Linked DNA regions of Macaca fascicularis. The protein of the gene in region 1 interacts with the protein of each later gene in a biochemical or structural test. Links are inferred from orthologs where the notes say so. Each region holds a gene or a part of one and is shown in the gene's direction. Other genes may lie near its edges. The genes, in order: RXFP3 and RLN3.

Region 1 (4,289 bases):
CCAGATAAGAACTGATCAAAGGAGATGGTTTTCGTTTGGTTAGGTTTTTACTAAAGCCCTGACTCCCTCTAGTGGGCGGACAGAGCAGTGCAGCATCCGTAGCAAGGTGTGTGCTCTTTTCAGGGCTAAACGTCCTTTGGAATCAAGATTCTTTTTTTCTTTTTCTTTCTTTCTTTCTTTCCTTCTTTCCTTCCTTCCTTCCTTCTTTCTTTCTTTCTCTCTCTCTTTCTTTCCTTCCTTCCTTCTTTCCTTTTCTTTCTTTCTTTTCTTTTCTTTCTTTTTCTGTTCTTGTCTCCTCAGCTTGAAGGTTGCATCCTCTTTATCTCCTTAAGTAAAGCTGGGAGTTCTGTAGGACTCCAGGAGTGAGGACAATTATGCTTAAGACACTTTGGTTTCAGTTTAGTCCCAGACCAAGGGAAAACATTTCAAAATTTTAAAGTAAATCCTTAAAAGTGTAATTTACACAAGAGCGATTGACCTGGCATTTATGTAGACTGTAGTTTGAGAAATAATTCAAATGGTTTCCACTCATTCCCTCGGAAGAGTCCTTAGAATGTACTTCCATTAGTCTGAAAAATGTCTGAAAAAGAATCCTGATGCTAACAGTACTGGAAATAGGAGGGCTGGTGGTTCACGATCAGCCCGGTGGTATCCTCCATTCTATTTGCATCTAGGTAGAGAGACTGTGGGCAGTATGTGATCAGACAATTTGCTGAAGCGCTTTGGGCCTAGGGCATTTAATTTCTGTGAAGTAGGCTCATCAGTTATTCGCTCTGTTTTTGTGTCACCTCTCAGAATACATTAACGTAGGGGCAACCCTTGAACCCAGACTTCTGCCATGTGAAGACCCTTTGAAAATCCTGACAAACACAGACACTGCATAAGTGGTCAGCTAATTAAAGCTGGGAGGTGGAGCTGTCCTTTGTGTATCCAATAAGTACCCATCATCTCATTTGAGCATGAAAAGAGGCCACTGTTATTACTTTAAAGAAGGAAAGTAAGCAGGATAGCTCATATTTTTGGAACCATTTCTCACCAAATGGAATAATTCCAGTGATAAAGTGGGAGTGAGGAAGAAAGAAAAAAAAACTTCTAATCATAATGTTTGGGAATAAGAAAGAGGAAACTCACGTCAAAATCGACTTTCTCCTGCGGGTGCAAAATAAAGGCTTAAGACTGCTCCTGCTGAAACTTTGGGGAGGAAAACGGGAGCTGGCGGGTGGGCTTTGCCTGCCACTCAGCTCTCCCTCGCGGCGCGGGCGCGGCTGGGTTCAGCACCTCGGAAAGCGCCGCTCGCGGCGCCCCCGGATTACGCATGCTCCTTGGGGCCCGCCGCCTCGGCCATGCAAGTGCCACTGCAACTGGTGAGCACCGCTGGCAACCCACCCGGAGTTGACAACCGCAGAAAGACGCAGACACCCACTGACCTCCAGGCAACAGAGCGAGGTGGATGGAACTCTACGATCTCTTTCTCTCCAAGGACGGAAACCTCATCCAAGCAGTCCCAGAGGAAACCGACAAAGGTATTTGAAAGGGAGCAAGCGGCCCCAAATCGCAAAATTGAGCGACTGTGGGAGTTATGCACCAATGCCCCAGTGACAGCGGGACACGGAGAGGGGAAGTCTGCGTTGTACATAAGGACCTAGGGACTCCGAGCTTGGCCTGAGAACCCTTGGACGCCGAGTGCTTCCCTTATGGGCTGCGCTCCTCAACTCTGCTCCAAAGCAGCCGCTGAGCTCAACTCCTGCGTCCAGGGCGGTTCGCTGCGCGGCAGGACGCGCTTAGTACCCAGTTCCTGGGCTCTCTCTTCAGCAGCTACTTTGAAAGCTCCCACGCACGTCCCGCAGGCTAGCCTGGGAACAACACCGGGGTAAACCGTCCCCAGAACGTGACCTAGAGGTACCTGCGCATGCAGATGGCCGATGCAGCCGCGATAGCTACCATGAATAAGACAGCAGGCGGGGACAAGCTAGCAGAACTCTTCAGTCTGGTCCCGGACCTTCTGGAGGCTGCCAACACGAGTGGTAACGCGTCGCTGCAGCTTCCGGACTTGTGGTGGGAGCTGGGGCTGGAGTTGCCGGACGGCGCGCCGCCAGGACATCCTCCGGGCAGCGGCGGGGCAGAGAGCGTGGACACCGAGTCCCGGGTGCGGATTCTTATCAGCGTAGTGTACTGGGTGGTGTGCGCCCTGGGGTTGGCGGGCAACCTGCTGGTGCTCTACCTGATGAAGAACATGCAGGGCTGGCGCAAGTCCTCTATCAACCTTTTCATCACCAACCTGGCACTGACGGACTTTCAGTTTGTGCTCACCCTGCCCTTCTGGGCGGTGGAGAACGCTCTTGACTTCAAATGGCCCTTCGGCAAGGCCATGTGTAAGATCGTGTCCATGGTAACGTCCATGAACATGTACGCCAGCGTCTTCTTCCTCACTGCCATGAGTGTGACACGCTACCACTCGGTGGCCTCGGCTCTGAAGAGCCACCGGACGCGAGGACACGGCCAGGGCGACTGCTGCGGCCGGAGCCTGGGGGACAGCTGCTGCTTCTCGGCCAAGGCGCTGTGTGTGTGCATCTGGGCTTTGGCCACGCTGTCCTCGCTGCCCAATGCCATTTTCTCCACCACGGTCAAGGTGATGGGCGAGGAGCTGTGCCTGGTGCGCTTCCCGGACAAGTTGCTGGGCCGCGACAGGCAGTTCTGGCTGGGCCTCTACCACTTGCAGAAGGTGCTGTTGGGCTTCGTGCTGCCGCTGGGCGTCATTAACTTGTGCTACCTGCTGCTGGTGCGCTTCATCTCCGACCGCCGCGTAGCAGGGCGGGAAGGAGGGGACGCGGTAGCCAGAGGAGGCCCGGTCGGAGCCAGCGCCCGGAGACTGTCGAAGGTGACCAAATCAGTGACCATCGTTGTCCTGTCCTTCTTCTTGTGTTGGCTGCCCAACCAGGCGCTCACCACCTGGAGCATCCTCATCAAGTTCAATGCAGTGCCCTTCAGCCAGGAGTATTTCCTGTGCCAGGTATACGCGTTCCCTGTGAGCGTGTGCCTGGCACACTCCAACAGCTGCCTCAACCCCATCCTCTACTGTCTCGTGCGCCGCGAGTTCCGCAAGGCGCTCAAGAGCCTGCTGTGGCGCATCGCGTCTCCTTCGCTTACCAGCATGCGCCCCTTCACCGCCACTACCAAGCCGGAGCCCGAGGATCAGGGGCTGCAGGCCCTGGCGCCGCTCCGAGCGGCCACGGAGCCGGACCTGCTCTACTACCCACCTGGCGTCGTGGTCTACAGCGGGGGGCGCTACGACCTGCTGCCCAGCAGCTCTGCCTACTGACGCGGGCCTCAGGCCCAGGGCACGCCGTCGCGGCAAGGTGGCCTTCCCTGGGCGGTGAAGGAGGGGAACGGATTAAGGAGGGTTTGGGGCAGAGTCGGGCGGGGGGGAAGCATTTAAGAAGTAGGTGAGAGGAGGATGGACAGAGCATGGAGGAGGAGCCTGTGGATAGGCTGGAGGACCTTCTCTGGAGAGGGGATGCTTCGAAATCAGGTGGAGAGAGGAAGCTGGCAAAGGGGCAGAGATGAGCTCTACGGGCCAGACCGCCAACCTCCGCTCCGCACCCCACAGCTTTCCTTACTCTTCCCACGCTGGGCAGTGTGAAGGCGCCCAGAAGCGGAGAGAAGCAGCAAAAATGTAGATAAATTGGCACACCGAGCAGGGCTTAGCCAAATGATGCGCAGACAATTGTGCCCGTTTATTCCTGCGACTTCTGCGGAGAGTGCAGCCGCCGCCACAAAGTCTCCTTTGCGCCTTGGCTAACGAGACTGCAGCAACACCAAGGTCCTACTTGCTGCGGGGCTGCCCCAGGAATCTAGAGCTAGGAGGCAAGAAACGTTTTTGGAGTTAAGAAAGAGAACTGACCATCCTGATGCGTCCCCAGGAGAAACGGCAAAGGAAAGCCACCTCCCATGGAGTCATTATGACGATTATCATTCCGGACTGGGCCAGCGGGAACACACTGAGCCCGACCTAGCTGCACAGCCCCGGAGCTCAGACGTTAGCAGGGGGATAACACCTGTCACCAGCTTGGGAGAGCGATTCTCTGGGGAGTGGCGTCACTGAGGGAGGGAGCGGACGCAGTGTAATTAGAAGGGCTGGTTAAGGAAATTTATTCAGGTTGCTGCCCCAAAAGGTAAAAGGGGGCTCATATGCTCACTTGGTAGCAGAATTGGAAGTGGAGTGCTGGAGCGTTGCGAGGAGGAAGCCCAGGCGCTCCAGTTCCTCTGAGAGCAGGCTGGGTGCCTGCAGA
Region 2 (4,343 bases), on another chromosome or scaffold:
ATTATTATTATGATTATTATTTTTTGAGACAGAGTCTCACTCTGTCGCCCACACTGGCACACAGTGGCTCAATCTTGGCTCACTGTAGACTGTGCCTCCTGGGTTCAAGTGATTCTCCTGCCTCAGACTCCCGAGTAACTGGGATTACAGGCATGCGCCACCACGCCTGGCTTTTTTTGTATTTTTAGTAGAGATAGGGTTTCTCCATGTTGGCCGGGCGTGTTGGCGGGTGCCTGTAGTCCCAGCTGCTCGGGAGGCTGAGGCAGGAGAATGGCATGAACCCGGGAGGCAGAGCTTGCAGTGAGCGGAGATCGCGCCACTGCACTCCATCCTGGGCGACAGAGCGAGACTCTGTCTCCGGAAAAAAAAAAAAAAAAAATTAGCTGGGTGTGGTGGTGCGTGCCTGTAGTCTCAGCTACTCAGGAAGCTGAGGCAGGAGAATCGCTTGAACCTGGGAGGCAGAAGTTGCAGTGAGCTGAGATTACACCATTGCACTCCAGCCTGGTGACTGAGGAAGACTTCATCTCAAAACAAACAAACAAACAAACAACAACAACAACAAACGTGATACACTTCAATCATCCCGAAACCATCCCCCCAACGCTCCATCCATGGAAAAATTGTCTTCCATGAAACCGGTTTCTGGTGTCAAAAATGTTGGCATCTGCTGCCTCAGGACACCCTTCTGTGTCTCTGTTTCCTCATTTGTAATATGGGAATTGTCTTAGTCCTAAATTGATAACCCCATGCTCCTAAAAGTGTGGTTTCGGCTAGGTGTGATGGCTCACGCCTGTAATCCCAACACTTTGGGAGGCCGAGGCAGGCGGATCACGAGGTCAGGAGATAGAGACCATCCTGGCTAACACGGTGAAACCCCGTCTGTACTAAAAATACAAAAAATTAGCCGGGTGTGGTGGCGGGCGCCTGTAGTCCCACCTACTTGGGAGGCCGAGGCAGGAGAATGGCATGAACCCAGGAGGTGGAGCTTGCAGTGAGCCGAGATCGCGCCACTGCACTCCAGCCTGGGCGACAGAGCGAGACTCCATCTCAAAAAATAAAATAAAAATAAATAAATAAACAAATAAAATGCTTAGAGCAGTGTGCCTGGCCCCATAGCGCATACTGCACGGGCATTCATTGTTATTATTATCTTTGAAGAGGTCCAGGACCCTAATGTTGTGGGGGTCTGGTTGCATCCTCTTGCCCTGCCTGTTGGGATTATTCATTTCTGGTCTCTGCAGGATGGAGACCTTCTCGCCTTTCTGTCGATGATGACAATGAGCTGGGCCACGTCACCCTGTCCCTGGCGAAAGGTTATCACTTCACTGGGGACATGAGAAAGGTCGGGTTGCTGAGGCCGTGCCTGTCTCCCCTCTGCCGGAGAAGATAAGGGAGGCACTCAGCTTTCTTCAGGCAGAGTGTGGGGGAGCCACGATGTATAAATGGGGGGCCAAGAGGCAGCGGAGACACTGGCCCACTCGCACGTCCAAGGCATCTCTGTCCAGCATGGCCAGGTACACGCTGCTGCTGCTCCTGGCGGCGTGGGTGCTGACGGGGGAGCTGTGGCCGGGGACTGAAGCCCGGGCAGCGCCTTACGGAGTGAAGCTTTGCGGGCGAGAATTCATCCGAGCAGTCATCTTCACCTGCGGGGGATCCCGGTGGAGACGATCGGACATCCTGGCCCACGAGACTATGGGTGAGGCTGGGGAGAGAGTGGATGTAGGAGGGGAACGGGTGGCTGGATGGGTCCCAGGAGCTAAGGACAGAGATGAGAGGAGGTTGCTGGAGGAGGAGGGTCCTTGCCCTGCCACATTCAGCCAGGGACACCTGCCCAGCCTTGACACAAGGGCTCAGGAGTTAGCAGAGCTGCAGAGCTGGGATGGGGGGTTGCAAGCCATCCCTGGTGGCTGGAAGTCCGAGCACAGGTTACTCTTTTCTGAGCAGCTGCTATGTGTCCTGTGCAAAGCAAAGCTGCTGCTTGTATGCTCCGGAGGTGGGGGCTGGGAGAGCGCCATTGGCAAAGACAACACCAAAGTGGTTTCCAACCCTTTCCAGGAGATAAATGTGAAGGGTGTGATATACACATAGCCAGATTTTGTCACCTAATGCGTGACCTCTCTCCAGCAAGCTGGTTTCTCCTCCCGTCTCTGTCTTTTTTTTTGAGATGTGGTCTCACTCCATTGCCCAGGCTTGAAGGCAGTGGCCCAATCACTGCTCACTGCAGCCTTGACCTCCCAGGCTCAAGCGATCCTCCTGCCTCAGCCTCCAGAGTAGTTGAGACCACAGGCAACTGACACCACGCCTGGCTAGTTTTAATTTTTTTTTTTTTTTTTTTTGTAGAAACAGGGTCTCACTATGTTGCCTAGGCTGGTCTCGAACTCCTGGGCTCAAGTGATCCTCCTGAGATTGGAGTCTCTGAGTGGCTTTATCTTCAAATGGGAGACACAGTTCCTGAACCTTGCAGGATTAAGTGGTGTGATTAAGTCAAAAGAGATTAGGGCAGAGTCTAAGCAGGGCAGCGGCACAGTCTGGGATCTATCAGGAGAGTCGGAGGGAACAGAAGACCTAGCTTCATGAGGGGCAGGGGCCTGGGAAATAGATATTCATGTTGGTGAGAAGGAGGATAGGTATGAGCGTGGACCTAGAAGACACACCACTTGGATTCAGATAGTAACTCTACAACGTAATAGTTGTGTGTTCGTATGCTAATCTTTTTGTTTGTTTGTTTGTTTTTGAGACAGAGTCTCGCTCTGTCGCCCAGGCTGGAGTGCAGCGGCATGATCTCCGCTCACTGCAAACTCCGCCTCCTGGGTTCAGGCCATTCTCCTGCCTCAGCCTCCCGAGTAGCTGGGACTGCAGGCACCTGCAACCACGCCCGGCTAATTTTTTTTATTTTTTTTTTTAGTAGAGATGGGGTTTCACCATGTTAGCCAGGAGGGTCTCGATTTCCTGACCTCATGATCCACCCGCCTTGGCCTCCCAAAATGCTGGGATTACAGGCGTGAGCCACTGTGCCCGGCTTTTTTTTTTTTTTTTTTTTTGAGACAGAGTCTCATTCTGTTGCCCAGGCTGGAGTGCAGTGGTGCAATCTCGGCTTACCGTAACCTCCATCTCCTGGGTTCAAGTGATTCTTGTGCCTCAGCCTCCCAAGTAGCTGGGATTACAGGTGTGTGCCACCATACCCCGCTAATCTTTTTATTTTTAGTAGAGACAGGGTTTCACCATGTTGGCCAGGCTGGTCTCAAACTCCTGACCTCAGGTGATTCACCCTCCTCAGCCTCCCAAAGTGCTGGGATTACAGACATGAGCCACTGCGCCTGGCCATGCAAATTCTTTACTGAGTCCTGCCTCGGTGGTCTCCTCTGGAAAATAGGGGTGCTAACTGCACCCACCTCAACTGGTTGTCACTCAGAAGAATAAAGAAGTTAACCTGCTAAAGCACTTAAACGTTGTTTGACACACAGTAAGTGATCAATAAATTATTATTATTATTTTAGAGACAGGGTCTTGCCCTGTTGCCCAGGCTAGAGTGCAGTGGTATGATCACAGCTCACTGCAGCCTCAACCTCTTGGGCTCAAGCAATTCTCCTGCCTCAGCCTCCTGAGTAGCTGGGACTACAGGCTTGTGCCACCATCTCTAACTTATGCCACCATGTCTAACTTATTATTATTTGTAGAAACAGGGTAGTGCTGTGTTGCCCAGGCTGTTCTTGAACTCCTGGTTCTAGTGATCCTCCTGCATGGGCTCCTGGAAGTTCTGGGATTACAGGTATGAGCCACCATGCCTGAACTAAATAATCATTTTTGAGTGCTCATCATGTCCCAGACATTGTTCTAAGTTTTTTTTTTTTTTAATGGATATTAACTCCTCTACTCCTTATAAAACTTGAGAAGGTTGGAATAATTATTTTTTTCCACTTTGCAGAAAAGAACATTGAGGCTCCAATAAGTAAATTTACTTGCTCACGATTACAGCTTGGAGGGGCTGGATTCATGCTCAGTCAGCCCAGCTCCCAAATGTACCAGGTCCTCAATTAATAATAAAGAGTAAGGGAAAATAAATGACAGGGCTGGGTGCAGTGGCTCACTCCCGTAATCCCAGCACTTTGGGTGGCTGAGGTGGGCAGATCACTTGAGGCCAGGAGTTTGAGACCAGCCTGGCCAATATGGTGAACCCCGTCTCTACTAAAAATACAAAAATCAGCCAGGCCTGGTGGCAGACCCCTGTAATCCCAGCTACTCTCCCACCTACTCTGGCAGAGCCAGAATTTGAACCCAGGACCGGGTGGAATCAAAACTCTGAACTATGTCTGTGAACTATGTCTATAACTGTTGTCACAAGA

What was found.
Region 2: the proteins of RXFP3 (region 1) and RLN3 form a complex in vitro, tested with the Homo sapiens proteins (2 studies listed by BioGRID, with this or other methods). The link is inferred for Macaca fascicularis from reciprocal best matches to the Homo sapiens genes RXFP3 and RLN3.

The regions. Positions count from the first base shown.
Region 1 is NC_088380.1:34,565,505-34,569,793, forward strand, and holds the start of RXFP3 (relaxin-3 receptor 1), read left to right. Parts: upstream 1-1,324; 5' UTR 1,325-1,909; coding exon 1,910-3,319; 3' UTR 3,320-4,289. UniProt on the Homo sapiens protein: Receptor for RNL3/relaxin-3. Binding of the ligand inhibit cAMP accumulation.
Region 2 is NC_088393.1:14,448,301-14,452,643, forward strand, and holds the start of RLN3 (relaxin-3), read left to right. Parts: upstream 1-1,468; 5' UTR 1,469-1,506; coding exon 1,507-1,696; intron 1,697-4,343. UniProt on the Homo sapiens protein: May play a role in neuropeptide signaling processes. Ligand for LGR7, RXFP3 and RXFP4.